Linked DNA regions of Alligator mississippiensis. The protein of the gene in region 2 interacts with the protein of the main gene of each other region in a biochemical or structural test. Links are inferred from orthologs where the notes say so. Each region holds a gene or a part of one and is shown on either strand. Other genes may lie near its edges.

What was found.
Region 1: the proteins of AREG (region 2) and S100A4 form a complex in vitro, tested with the Homo sapiens proteins (2 studies listed by IntAct, with this or other methods). The link is inferred for Alligator mississippiensis from reciprocal best matches to the Homo sapiens genes AREG and S100A4.

What each region holds. Positions count from the first base shown.
Region 1 is NC_081838.1:13,253,477-13,260,550, reverse strand, and holds S100A4 (protein S100-A4), read right to left. Parts: upstream 2,317-7,074; 5' UTR 2,210-2,316; intron 1,279-2,209; 5' UTR 1,265-1,278; coding exon 1,124-1,264; intron 791-1,123; coding exon 626-790; 3' UTR 512-625; downstream 1-511. UniProt on the Homo sapiens protein: Calcium-binding protein that plays a role in various cellular processes including motility, angiogenesis, cell differentiation, apoptosis, and autophagy.
Region 2 is NC_081825.1:165,235,821-165,243,125, forward strand, and holds the start of AREG (amphiregulin), read right to left. Parts: upstream 3,006-7,305; 5' UTR 2,946-3,005; coding exon 2,885-2,945; intron 2,626-2,884; coding exon 2,455-2,625; intron 1-2,454.

The DNA.
Region 1 (7,074 bases), on a different chromosome or scaffold from region 2:
TGGGACTGTCCAAGCCCCGTCATGCAGCAGCCATGGCTCCATCCGGTGGAGTTGGACCACAGGCACTGCTGCCTCTCTGTGGGTGACCCCAGGGCCACACAGCCAGCTGCCCTGGAGTGCTGTGGCCCAGCCCCTCACCCTGGTCTTGGGACCCCATGGTCACTGAGCTGTGGGGAAGGGGCTGCAGCAGGCTCTGGCTCTGCAATAAACTCACCCAGGTAGGAAAGGACTTATGGGGTCACCTGCCAAGATGGATCCCCCTGGAGCGGGGTAGAGCCTAGGAGGAGCTCCCCTTGCTGCCAGCAGTTGAGGGCTGCTATCCTGGAGTTGGAAGGAGCAAAGCCCCCGACCCCGGTTTGCTGCACTTTTCCCTGCGCCTGGATCAGACCCCTGCTCTTTTGGGCAAAGCTGGCAGAAACCCTTGAAGACCCCACAGGGAACTTTACCCACCCCTACGACTCCATGTGCAACACAGTCCGGGAACCAGTTACACAGTCGAAGACACACACGGGACTCTGGAAGTGACTTTATTGCACGGGCTCTCAACGGGCTCTCGAGGCAGTGGTGAGCAATGCAGCGGGGGTCCCAGGAGGAACCCACGCAGGACAGCCCAGGCCCAGGGCAATCACTTCCTCCGTGGCATCTTGTCGGGGCAGCCCTCAAAGATGTCGTTGCACATCATGGCAGCGCAGGCCAGGAAGGTGGCATACTCCTGGAAGTCCACCTCGTTGTCGCGGTTGCTATCCAGGTTGCTCAGCATCTTCTGGAAGCTGGCATCATCCGTCTTTTTCTGCCAGGGGGAAGGAGGTGGGAGCAGGGTTCAGCCTAGCCCAGAAATGCTCTGCACCCCTCCTGCAGCTCAGGGCATCACCCACCTCCCTCCACCCCATCATCCGCGTGTACCCGCCCCAGGCAGAACTGTTTGGGACAGGACGTGGGCACCTCCTGCCCCCCTCCCCTCTTCAAAGGGGCAGAATAGATTTATCTGAGAATAAATCCCAGAGCAGGAACCGAGCCCCCTCTGCAAGAGGCCACTGGACCCCTTCACAGGGGCAGACAGGTCTCCTGTGCCCAGGTCCCAGCACCGCCCCCAGTGCCTGGGGGTCCCAGTCCCCCCACTCACACTGATGAAGCTGGGCAGCTCCTTCAGCATCAGGTCCTTGAGCTCTGCCTTGTTGAGCTTCAACTTGTCGCCTTCCTTCCCCGAGTACTTGTGGAAGGTGGAGACAATCACTTGCAGTGCCTGCTCCAAGGGATGCGCCATGGCAGATCTGGGAGCTAGAGACGTGGGGAGGGGGCTGCTTAGAGCACGGCCCGAAGCACAGAGCTCCCTACCAAGCTGGGACCAGCTGGCCCAGGGGTTAAGGGTGCAGGGACGGAAGCAGATTTGAATATATTTGAGTGCCTTTGCATAGGAGGAGCACAGGCAAGGTACCCGGGTCCTGTCTTTTGTGGTGTGCCCAGCTCTCCCAGCATCCCCACCAAGCCCTCCGGTCACAGACCCTTCACCCAGGCCCATGGGACAAGTGCTAAGTGCCTATAGCCTGGCCCTGCCCAGCATCCCCAGAGGGAGGGCCCCCACCTGCTAATTGCACCAAGGCAGGAGGATGTGTCACTGTTTCCTGCCTGCTCCCAAGCCTCCCCTGAGGTCATGTTGGCAGCGCAGATGGGCGTTGGTAGCCAGCGCCAACTGCAATGACAGCCCAGGGGCTGGAGGCTTAGCAGGAGCACAGCTGGAGGGACCGAGCGATGACAGCCTGAGGGCTGGGGGCTTAGCAGAAGAATGGCTGTGGGGGGCAAGCAATGACAGCCTGGGGGCTGGGAGCATAATGGGAATACAACGGGGGGCACAAGTACTGCAGACCCCAGCCAGGCTGCTGCATAAGCCCAGACTCCAGAGGAGGCATCACCCTTTGCGTGGGTCCGGGGAGGCCCTTTGCAGCCCTGGCTGTGTCAGAGCAGAGCCCCAGACCTCCACTAACCCCAAAACTGCCTGGATGCAGAGGGCAGCTCTGAGACCCAGGCTAAGTGGGGAACCCGTGGCCGCCTTCACCACCCCAGCTCAGGATCATGTACATCTGCTGCAGCAAAGGCAGCGCCCCCTTCTCCCAAACCGCAGGGCTGGCTGTGTCCCCAGCCCCCCATGCACAAACCACCAGCAGCTGGAGCAGCTGAAGCCCCAAGCATCTCAATAAAACAAACCACTTACCAAGGCAGCGAGGCAGGAAATAGGCTGACAGATGCTGGCCGGACAAGCGGCTGAGCAAAAACCCTCAGTATTTATAGTCAGCGTACATGACTGGGGACACCCCCTCCGGCTCTGGAAATTAAAGCAAGGCCAATGAGCGGAGGAGCACCCAAACGTCCTGGCAGGCATTGGCTACAAGGGGCTGGGGAGCCCTGGGCCCCATGTCCTGCCCTCCCCTCAGGCCCAATTTTGGGCAGAGAAGAATGGGCGGATGCAGCCACTGCCCCGGTGGGTGCAAGGGGCACCGACTGGCACCGGGCCATGGGGTGTATCTGCAGGGGAGGGAGTGGAACAGCCTGGACAAGAGCAGGAAACAAAATGAGGGACGAACTGGGGGAGTCAGAGCTTAATGAGTCTTTGCAATCCCTGGTGGGAGAGAGGAGGGGGGGGCGGGGGGGATGAGCATGGGGTGGATGAACACATGCATGGACATGGGACAAGGCAGCGTGGGATGGCTGCTCAGGTGAGTCAATGGCCATCATCTGAGATCTCCCTTACCCCTCTCTGTCTAAAGCACCCCAAATTGGATAAACCTGCCATGTGTCCAGGTGGCTCCAGTCCACAGCCATACTCCTGCCTGCCCCCCCCCCTCCCCCCACACTTTGCCCCGAGATGCTTCAGGGAGAAAGGGCCCAGGAAGCATGAAACAGTGACAAGGGCTTCATCAAGCCAAGGCATCTATTCACGCGTCACCTACCCTGGTCACGCAGGGGAGGAAACCCTAGGACAGCTCAATCACAGCTGCATAGGAAATGCCTGCCCTACCCGGCACGGCCTGATCATGGACACGCATTTGCTCCGAGGGTTAATCCCAGCGAGCATGAAGCGATGGGAAGCATCCGCAGCTCCATGACGCACAGTGCCCGAGCTGCTGTTTCGGAGTGTTTTTCATTTTTTTTAACTGAAATTGGAGGCAGCTGCCTTGCGTTTCATAATGGTGGGAGGGCGGTGCCGCTGAGTTGTGTAACCAGATGCTGGTCTGGCCTGGGCTGTATTCTTCCACTAAGTGTCATAGGCCCCACGGTCCCGGTCACGTGCCAGAGCATCCCCCTGAGCTGGGTGGACCAGGCCAGTGGGGTTGGAGCAGGGGATACAGGCTTGATGCCCTGCCAAAGCCTGGGAAGGTCACATCCCTGCAGCAGGGAAGTCCCCACAGCAAGCCACACGGGGACCACCAAGTCTTGCCCACCCAGGCTTGTCTTTGCCATTAGCCCCATAGGCAGGTCTCTGGGGTCAAACCCTGATGGTGTCCACACTGGCCCAGCATGACCTTAATCTGCATCCTCCTTCCTGCAATGTGGCCAGCTCAGAGCATAGGTGCAAGCCAGGATGAGGCGAAGTTGCAATGCTTGGAGATGCCCCGGGTGGATCAGAGGCCACAGGGCAAACTGCAGGCATGAAAGCAAAGCTGCTGCAACCTGGAGGCATCTCCCAGCACCCCAGCATCCTTGGAGCCTGGGTCAAGGCAAACTCCAGAGCCAGGGGCAGGCAGGATCTCCCAGGAGACAGGGCTGGGAATGGGCCCAGAGCTGTACCAGCTCTGCAAGGCTAGCAGGGAAAGAGTTGGCTCCAGGCCTGATTACCCTGGGGGCACAGGGCTTGGTTGGCATGGAACTGGCTGCTAAGCTAGCCCAGAGCCAGGACCCTGGACGGCTCAGCCCCTCTGCCACAGGGGCCATGCGAAGCCTCTGCTGCCAGGGAGAGAAGAGGCATGGACCCTACATGAGATGGGAGGCCCTCAGCTCTCCTGGGCTGCAAGCCCAGACATGGGTGCCCGATGCTGGAGCATCTTGGGGAGTGCCAGGCTCTGCACCCCGACCCCCCTGCTCCAGGAAGGAGAGTGCAGAGCGCTGTCAGCTGCCACCTCCCTGAGAAAGGACCCAGGACCCACAGGGCAGGGCAGCCCAGATGCCCTCCCCCAGTCACACCTGGGCCTGGCTTGGTCTTAATGGGTTCAACCTGTGCAGAGGAGGTGGCAAGCCCTGCTGCCTCCTGGAACAGCCCCACTCAGCCCCATGCAGGCTGTGACTCACATGGAGCTGAGGAGGGAGGTTTCCGGGTAGGGGAAAGTCCTGCTGCTTCCGGCTGGAGGAGAGTGGGAGGAGGGCGTGGAGCTGGGCCAAGGCCTTGTGGGTACAGGGATCTGAGCTGCAAGGGCTCGGGGGTTGCTCAGAAGCAAAAGGGACTAGACCCCTGACTCCCTGGGAGGGGTCTGGGAGTGCATGGCTGCAAAGGCAGTGCCCAGCACCATGCCGTGGGGCTGGGGTCAGTGTCACCACCTCCCAGCTGGAGACCCCAGGTCCTGGCAGCAGTGCCGGTGGGCAGTGGGGATCCCGCTGCATGCCAGCTCGAGGGTCCCCATCCCCCAGCTCACCCATGCAGGGGTCCTCCCAGCTCACACCCTGCACAGCTGGAGGGGGCTCTGCACAGCTGGCTCCAGCCTGGCAGGTCCCAACACCCCCCAGCCAGCTGCAAACCCTGACATGCAATTAAATAAAAGTTGAGTGGGGAGGATGCCGCCATGCAGAAGGGAAGCGAGCGGCAGGGGGGAGGGGGAGCAAGCAGCTGCTTCTCACTGCACAGCCAGGCCTGTGGAGACCTGAATGTCGGTGCAAGTGCAGCCCCATTCTGCCTGGGGACCATGGCTCAGCCCACCCTGCTCCCCAGCTCACAAGGCCCCAGGAACAAGCCTGGTCTCATCCAGCTGACAGCGCCGAGGATGCGCCTTCCCGCATCCTGCCAGAGTGGGGGGGCAGCAGTGGCAGGTCGCAGCACAATGGGGCAGGGGTCTGAGCCCCTGGGGCTGCCCAAAGGGAGTCTCTCCAAGCCCCTAGTAGCTCCAGGGGTCCTCATTGCTGGCCCCTTCTCGAACTGCCCAGAGCTGGGCCATGGCCACCTGCCCGTGTCAGGGTACCTGGGGGCATGGAGGTGGGGGGTACTGGTGCAGAGCATGGGGTGGGAGAACAGCCCATGAGCCCAGCACCAGGGGCTCAGAGCCACTGCGGTCATGGCAGGACAGCACGGACAGCTCTCGGCTAGGCCTGGGAACCAGGGCACCCGGTAGCAATATGCACCACATTCACCCGCTCCTGAACCCGAGTCCACATTGGCAGCTCTCCATCCTCACTGCAGGCCCTACCCACCCTTCCCCAGGATCTGAGCACCCAGGACCAGTTTGGCAGGCAGGGCCGCGCAGCTCTGAACCTGGGGGGAGGCACAATTGTTTGCTCCTGTCCTGTTTGCACTGGCAGGGACCGGATCGGCTGTTTGATTAGGGGGCAGAGCCCAGATGGCTCCCAGGGCTGAGGGATGAACCCAGGTTGCTGGGTCAGGAGAATGATCAGAGCTGGTGCAAGGGTGCCCCAGGCCCCAAGTGGGCTGGGGGGATTGCTCCTGCCCTGCAGCAACCCCAGAGATGGGATGGGAGCAGGTTTGCATCTCCATTTCCCAGGGAAGCCGTGGGATTTGCCCACCGCTCTGCCACAAGCAGGCTTAAGTTGCCAGTGCCCCCCCATCCCCAGGCCCAAGGGACCCCCTGCCCTGACCAAGCCCCCCTGCACCAGGGGAATCCAGCAGTTTGCAATGAGATCCAGGCCTGGACCCTGAGGTTCACCCCTAGCCCTGAGCCCTTCTGGGATGGGGGCGATGGATGGAGGATGCCCAGCTGCAAATGCCAAGGACCAGGCTGCAGGAGAGGCAGGACACCTTTCCACCCCCCTGCAGCCCTTTGCAAGCCAGGAGGGAGCTGAGAGCAGCAGTGCAATGCTGTTGGGGGGCTGGGGGCAGTTCCCCATCCCCAGGGGCTTCCAGCCACCAGGGTCAGTGCACAAATGGCAGCACCATCAGCGCATGCAGCGAGCAGCCAGGGGCAGGTCTCAGGGGTTCTCCCATCACAGCCCCATCCAGAGCTGTCCTATCCCTATCCCCATCCCCTGTCCCAGGTGAAACCATTCCCACAGCAGCAGGCAGGTGCGCCTGGGCGTGGGACACCACAGGGACATGTCTGCAGGGCAGATTTATCCATCCAGCTTGATGCTGTGGCAGGTGCTGCGAGCATCAGGCCTGGCCCACAGGCAATCAGAGCACAGGCAATCAGACCCGGACCCTGTAGAGGCAGCCCCAGCTGGGCAAGAAGGGGGGCTGAGAAGGGTTGGAGCAATGCAAGCAGGGGGAGGAGAGGGGTGCTGGGGCATCCTGGAAAGTAGCAGAGGGGCAGGGGTCAGTGGTCCTGCATCAGGAGCAGCCGGAGAGGCCCCAGGGTCTCGGAGACATGAAAGGGGAGGATGCTCAGCCTTGAAAATCGAGGCCCCTGTGAGCTCAGAGCCCCCAGCCCCATATGGGCAGGCAAGAGCGGGGGCCCAGACCACACGGTAAGCAATGCACTCACACATTTGTTCATAAGCAGTGCCCTTGCACATCCCCTGAGCACATCAAGCGCGCTCACAGGCTCACCATGCACAGGTAGCACACTGGCACACTCACCATGTACAGACAAGGCACTCGCACACTCACCGGGGACATGCAAGACACACACCCCTCCCCACCATCCAGCACCCGGCCCAAAGCCACTTCCTGCTTCCCAGCTTCTCTGGCATCAGCCCGTGGCACGGTGCCCAGAGCAGAGCGGGGCACGAGAGCCTGACTCATCCCTTGGCTCTGGGCTGCAGAGGGAGGTCCACCGACAAGCAGGGAGTGGCCGGGCTGGGGCAGGGTCTCCCTCCCTCCAGATGTGCCCTGCCCAAGGCTGGAACCTGCCAGCCATGCCCTGCTCCCAGGCCGCACCCGGACACCTGGGTCCCACAGGGAGTTTGCAAGGACCAAGCCCC
Region 2 (7,305 bases):
CCACCCACCCATGAGCTTTACAAGTGGGTTTAGAGTCAACTACATCCTTGACAAACCCATTTGATTAGTATCGTAAGACAACTGACAGCCAATTCTAATAGAGGCTAGATCAGTGGTCACCAACCAGTTGATCTTGAACGACTGGTCGATCACAGAGCCTCTAACAATTGATCTCAGTCTGTCAGAGGCTCCACGATTGGGAGCTGCAGGACATGTGGCTGGGCTGAGCCATGCCTCTCCTACCATCAGGGCTGGGATGGGCTGAGTGAGTGGGGTTAGAGCCTGGACAGCTTGTTGGGGGGGGGGGGGGGGGGGGGGAAATGCAGTATATCCTGGGGTGCCAAGAAGTGATCTTTACCATAAGAAGGTTGGAGACCACTGGGCTAGATCAACTCCCTCAGGCAGAGATTAGAGTTGTGTATTTGGAAGATTTTCACCAGCCAGCCCTATACTTTATCTTGAGATCTTAAGCCACATTGGTCACATATTAAATTACTAAATAAATAAATCATCTTTTGCCAGGAGAAGTCAGACTGAAATTGTACAACTTGTGTTTGTAGGTGAGCTGAATGTACCAGCTACACTCAGGTTTCCTTTCACTAAAAGAAAGCTCTGAACTTAGTCACTGTATAGCTGACACCCCCTTTCCAGTTAACTTTAGTCAAAGTAGGCCTATTGTCTTGAACAAATATAGAGCCAACTTTCATGCCTTAGCTTAAGAAGCTGCCTGTTAGACAACTCCTCCTTGATTTTAAGAACAAACTACAATCTTTGTGGGCTATTTTTTTTTTTCCCCAACATAAGTATCCAAGCTCCAAGTCCTTTTAAAGCTGTTGAAGGCTCTGAAGATACATCTTTAAGGAAAACCCATGCCAGGCATCCATACACTCAAGCTTGCTATACTGTCTCTGGATTAACCAGAAAGTAGTATGTGGCCCACTCAAAATACTGCGTCACAAACGAGTGACAGTGGTCATTAGATTGCCCAGAGTACCATAGATGTTGCTACACCACTTCTGTTTTAGAAGCCATCCTAATATAAGCAGCTTGAGGGCACTACATCTAGACACAGCAGCATTAACATGGAGACACGGCCCAAGTGTAATCTACAGCTGAACCACAGAAGTCTAGGATTGTAAATTTACTGGCTCAGTGCCAAAAGACAGGAGTCAATCTACAAGACTGCTTGGTAACAGCCCTGTTGCGTGCAAGATTGGCTCTGTGACCAACCAGCATGCCAAAAGCAATAAGCTTAAGCTTGCAACTACTGTATTTCACAATTGGGGTGGGGGGGCATGCAAAAGTTAAGCTGCCTTTTACCAGATCGAAGTTCCGCTCAAAATGTTGCAAGAATCAGCCTCTCAAGAAGCAGCTCAGAGCTCGTCTCCTAAAGTCAAGTATCATCTTCCTACTAACTTCAGATGACAACCAGGTAATACCTTAATATAGTGGCCCTCAAACTACTGCATGTTAATATACACACAGGAACAACCAGGTGCAACATATCTTCCTTGTAGGAAATGAAACCAATGGGTTACAGATTTTGTCACTAACCCTCCAAGTTTCAGTGCTCCCTCCATTTCTTGTGGAGCCTCCCATTCATACAATGACTTGAGCCAGACTTGAACCAGTAGAACTTACACTACTAGCCAGTTGAGCCATTGAGACCCCTTAAAAAATTGTTGTTTCCTGGCTAACAAAGTCTACAGAGACAAGACAGAGGTTTCAGTCTCTAAAAGATGTTAGCTAGCAACGTGTCTAGTTCACATTTCAGAAAGTTTTGGTGTGGACAAAGCAAGTTTTGATTTAATGTTCACCCAAAGCAGCTAGCATGCGAGAATACCAGCTTAAATCCCTAGTATACATAGGACATATGGCCAACACTTCTTAAAACCCATCTTTTATTTTAGTCCAGACATACACAGAAGCATTGCACAATAATCAAACTGAAAAATTGCATGCCACTCAATAGGTAATCCTCCCCCTGCCAAACAGAGAGAAAGAACTTGCAGTAATTTCTATCAAGAATTACAGGTTTAACAGCTGAAACAAACTTTTCAAGAACACACCACACCATAGCTCCCCAAATGAGAATGGGAATTGCGGAATACTTAAAAAATCTGGAGGCTTCATTCAGTCCAGCCTTGAAGAAGCTATGCCAAAGGAGATTGACTAGGACGTTTTGAACTGTAGGAGAACACCAAGACATTTCAACTCTCTTCAGCCCCTAGACACATTTAGGAAACCAAAGCAACATAGCGTTATGCTACAAGGTTCACCAAAAGGCATGTTCAGGCGTCACGGAAGCACAGCCACTCTCCTACATACCAGCCGGTTGCCAGCTAGTCCCGAGCACGTGCAGCCACAACCTCCCTACAAGTTCTCAGAACCACTCCTGTAGCTCAACGCTAGGGTTGGGACTCAGGGAAAAGCCCGAGTTTCACCGCAGCTCACCTCTGATGGACTCATCTACCATGTACAAGGGCAGGGGCGCATCATCTTCTTCCTTGTAGTCCGCATCCTCATACTCCACTCCCAGAGACATCTCATGCCCAGGGCTGCTGTGATTCCCTGCTAGCGGGGCACCCGTCACGCTGGGTCCCAAGCCGGTGACATGCTGGCATGCTGTGAGGCAGAAGCCAGGAGAGAGACACAAAAGCTGTAGTCACCTGCGTGGGGCAGGATGCCATTCTCCCCACTCAGCGCCCGGAGCCAGCCGAGGCGTGGACCTTCGTGACAGCTCTCGCACATCCTCGCCAGTGACTCACAGGCAAAGCAGCTCTGGGCTCCCGGGCCAGCCCAGGCACAAAAGGGGCACGGGCCTCCCTCTGCGCAGCCTGGCCCGGAGGGGGCTCTGGCCCGACCTGCTGCACACCCCGCTCACCTGAGCGCCCGGCTAGCGCGCACAGCAGCAGGAGCAGCGGCGGCGGCAGCGCGAGACGCATCTGGGCGGGCGGGACAGGGCAAGGCTGGCGCCTGCACCCCTCACTCAGTCAGTCCACAGGCCGTAGGGCGCCTCCCGCGCCCGCCCTTTATAGAAGCGGCGGCGGCGACGTAGCTCTGCGTCAGCAGGTGGGGGCGGGGCCGAGCCGCACCTGCCCCCGCGCCGGGGAATGCGTGGCCCGGAGCTGAGGGAGTAGCTCGCACCCCCTCCCTCCCTGGCCCCCGGCCGCGGTGGTGTCCACGGCCCCGCAGCCTCAGCGTGTCCCTCAGGCACTGCCCGCGTGTCTTTGCGTACGCTGCAAAGCGGGTGCGCGGGTCCCGGCGGGTCCCCCCCGTCCCAGCCCTTCATCAGGGGGGTCACCCTGGACCGGCCCGAGTAACTTAGCCGCCGGGGTCGGACCCGAGGTGGGTCGCGACAACGTGTGGGAGGGCGGAAAACACACTTTACAAGCCGGTTTTCCTGTTAAAGGGGGGAAAAAAAACTATGGTGATCTGTGGCTTTGCCCTCTTGAGGGCTCAGTTCAAGCGTTGGTATTGTGTTTTCTGTAACCTAGTTGCGTTTCCCTCCACACCCCCATCCCTCTTATGTTACTCCCTCTGTATTTCCCTTCTGGCTTTGTCATCTTTTTGCTTCATGACTCTTGCCATGTACTAATACAGTGCAATCTGTTGTATCTTCTGTAACCTGGCTGCGTGTCCCACCCCCATCCCTCTGACATTAGTCCCTCACTCAGGCACTCCGTCTTTCCCTTCTGGCTTTTTGTCATCTTTCCGGTTTACAATTCTGAACATCTACTAATAAAATTCAGTCTGTTCCTGGGCAGGTTGTTGCTTCTCGGCCTCCTGAAGGCTCAGATCAAGTGTGGTGGCTTCTTAACCTGGCAGGGGAAATGCCATGTCTCTGTGTCCAAGAAGGCAGTTTTCCTGAACCGCTCCACGGGAGAACTGCACTTCTGGTGCGGTTCAGGACCCGCCGAGGTGCGGTGGCTTTAAGCCCAGTTTATGGAAATGGGAGTCTCCTCCCTTGCTTGCTCCAAGGGCCTTATGGCCGAGGGCAAGCAAAACTCAGGGGCAGCCAAACCTCAAGCCTCTGGGCTTGGGTCTGCAAGTAGGATGCCTGCCAAAGGTTTTGGAAACATGTGAAGTCCCAGGTGCAGGTGGAGGATGTTTGTCAGTTGTAGGGCCACTTATGGTTCTGGACTCTTGAATTTGGAATTAGTTTTGGCTAATTTGGCCTTGGATACAAATTTAAATAAATAAAAAATCTGTGGCTTTTCCCTTGCAAGCTGGCAGAGTTCCCTCTGCTTGTGGCCCCCCATGCCCCCTCCGCCGGGGTGGGGGGCAGCGGGTCAGGAGTGAGGGGCACTGGGGCAGGGACTAGGGTGGCCATCATAGAGGACCATCCGGTTGCCCTCTATTCTCTATTGATATGAAACCAGACGGCTTTATGTCCTCTAGTTTTCTCTTGAAGAGAAAACCAGAGGACATAAAAGCATTGGGTTTTGTATCAATAGAGGACAGAGTAGCAGAAAACCAGAATGTCCTCTATGATGGCCACCCTGGGAGGGACTGGCCATCCCTGCTTATAAATGGGTCCTGGTACAAAAGGGGCTGAGAACCCCTGCTCTGGAGGCTGAGGGGCTCTGACTTAGTCTGTTGGGGAAGGGGCGGGTTGTTGTAGCCTCAGCACAGACCTGGGTCCAGGGCCGGCCCACAGTTTTTTGGGGCCCCCTGCAAGATATGATATAGTTTTGGGGTCCCCTGAGCCATCAAAAAATCAAAATTGCAGTTAATTGCAGTATAAACTCACTGAAATAAAATAGGGCCAGGCTGCACTCATGTGGGCTGTACTGTGGGGGGCACGGGGTGGGGGCAGCATGTACTGGGGATGCCTGGGTTCCCTCCCTGGGCAGGAGTGGAGCCAGGAACTCCTGCTCCATTTGGCCAGGAAGGGGCTCCCTGCCTGCATTGAGCTCTTTAAACATGGCACAGGCGGCAGGGGGAAAATGGCACAGCCCCTTGGCAGCAGGGCCCCCTGTGGCTGCAGGATAGGGTGGGCTGGCCCCCTGCCTGGGTCCTGCAAGTGCAGCTCTTGGGGGTGGTGAGGTGACTGCTCAAGTGTATTGCCAGGCACAGGTGTAACGATTGGTAAGCACTAGATTTGGGGTAGGCAGGACAGGGGTAGGGGTGGTTGTAACACAGGTAGGAATCTCCCTAGAAGCTTTTAATCCAGCCTTAATCCAAGCAGAGCCAGTGGCACATACTTCAGCCCAGACTAACCACAGGCCTACTTCCCGCAAAGGCTCATGCTATGATTACTTGCACATACTGAAGCCCACAGCACCATGTTACTGTTAGTCATATTGGTTCAACTGCAGCCGTTGTGGAGCTTTTCCCATACTGGTGTCACACCTCCATCTGGCTGCATGGGGCACACCTCCATCTGGCTGCACATGCCTACCAGGGCAGTCTCTTAAATAGGACCTGGGTTTTCCTCATCCATCCATCCAGTATGTAGGACAGCAGAATCCTGATCAGAAATTGGGGACTATTGGTTCTACTGTAAGACCAAGACACCAATAGCTAATTATAGCTCATTTAATGTGTCATTCTTATCAGGGAACTTTATTGAGGAGAGCACGTGAAAAATTCTCCTGTGTCAAAAAGTAACATTGCAATAACACAGCAGTACTAAAATATGAGGGTAATTAAAGTGCTTGTAAAAAAACCAACAAACAAACAAAAAAAACCCCATTACAGTTCTAGCCAAACTGTAGGAAGAGAGCATTCCCTTGTGGTTTTACATGAGGGTTTCCAGCTGTGCATAGCTGTACAAGGCCTTAATTGCCCTGTGTTTTAAATACCCTGTCATTGTTTAAAAAACAAAAATTGTGAAATGTTGGTCCATGATTTTTCCTGCATGGCACCACAACGCACCAATGCTAGTAACTCTGTGAGGTTTTCTTGTAGAAAACAAAAAAATATTAGAATATTTAAAAGTTGGTTAGACAGTGATAAATCTGTATCAGTCTAGGACACCTGGGTTCAAATCCCTGCTCTGTCCCAGCCTTCCTATGTCAAAGCTGTGTCAACTTTAGTCAAGTCACTCAGCCTCTCTGGATGTCAGGACTGCATTGGTACAGTGAGCATAACAGCACTTACATCACAGCTGTACAGACAAATACAGTGGAGATTATCATATGTCCAGATGCTGGAGTAATTGGGACTGCATTCACACCTAAGATAGAGAGATACCTACACTACTGTAGAATCATTGCTTCCAGCTGTTTGCCTTGCTGGCAGCAGATGGTGTTACAGCCATGTTGTATTACAATGTTGAGACAGGCACAGGTGATTCCTTTGCCTGTGAAGTTGTGCAAATGTAGCAGGGCAAACTTGGCACCTGGTCCCCAAGAGCTTCTGTCCTTATGCTGCTGTCACATTTGCAGAGCCTGGTTGTCTTACCTGTGGTGGGCACCTGGGGGGCAGCCACTGTTGGTTGATGGAGAGAGGTCAGACGTTCCTCCTTACTCCCTTGCTGGGTGAATAACAAAGGAGAATTCTTCCCCAGGCCCCATCCTGCAATTCCTCCCATCTGTGCTTAATCTTGCCCATGTGTGTAATCCCACTGAAATCAAACTATGTATGTTTGTAAGTGTTCTCAGGATTGTAGCCTTAAGGGATGCTACTGCAGCCTTCTCCAGGTGCCTGGCACTCAGAGTTAAGCCTTAGTACTAGCTGTGCCCAAGTGAGAGCAGCCACACTGTAAAGCCATACCTGAGAGAGAGCCTTACTGACATGGCATTCAGCCATGTATGCTGCTAGGACTTCTGAAGGCATACCCCATAGGCATACGTAGCTGCAGTGAGCTAAGGTGCTCCGTACACTTTGACTCTTACCCAGTTTCTGTCCTGGGCAGTGGGTGAAGGGTAATGTGGAAAGGCACTGGAGGGCAATCAGCCCTCACATGGTTTAGCTTGCATTCTCATTGCAAAGTGTTCAGGTTACCAGCCTGAGCATAAGTAGCATCTATGTTTGTAGCCTATTCCTAAGAACAGGCCATCCAACCTGAATGGAAAGCAGTGGGTCAGAGGAGTTAATATCTGGACAGGAGCCATCTAAAGGACCATGCCTCAGCCAGAGATAAGTCCAGAAAACATATGCACACCTCTGCATGATACTTCCATTTGCACCTTCCATAACCAGCCCCACATGTGATTTAATCAGACTAGGAGATGTTTTGTACCATGGGTTGGACTGAGACACTTTATCCTAGCTCTGCACAGGGGATGGACTCCAAATCATGTTTCCCTCAAGGGCAGCACCAGGGTACATTGAGCCTGGTGTGGGGGACACAAGGCC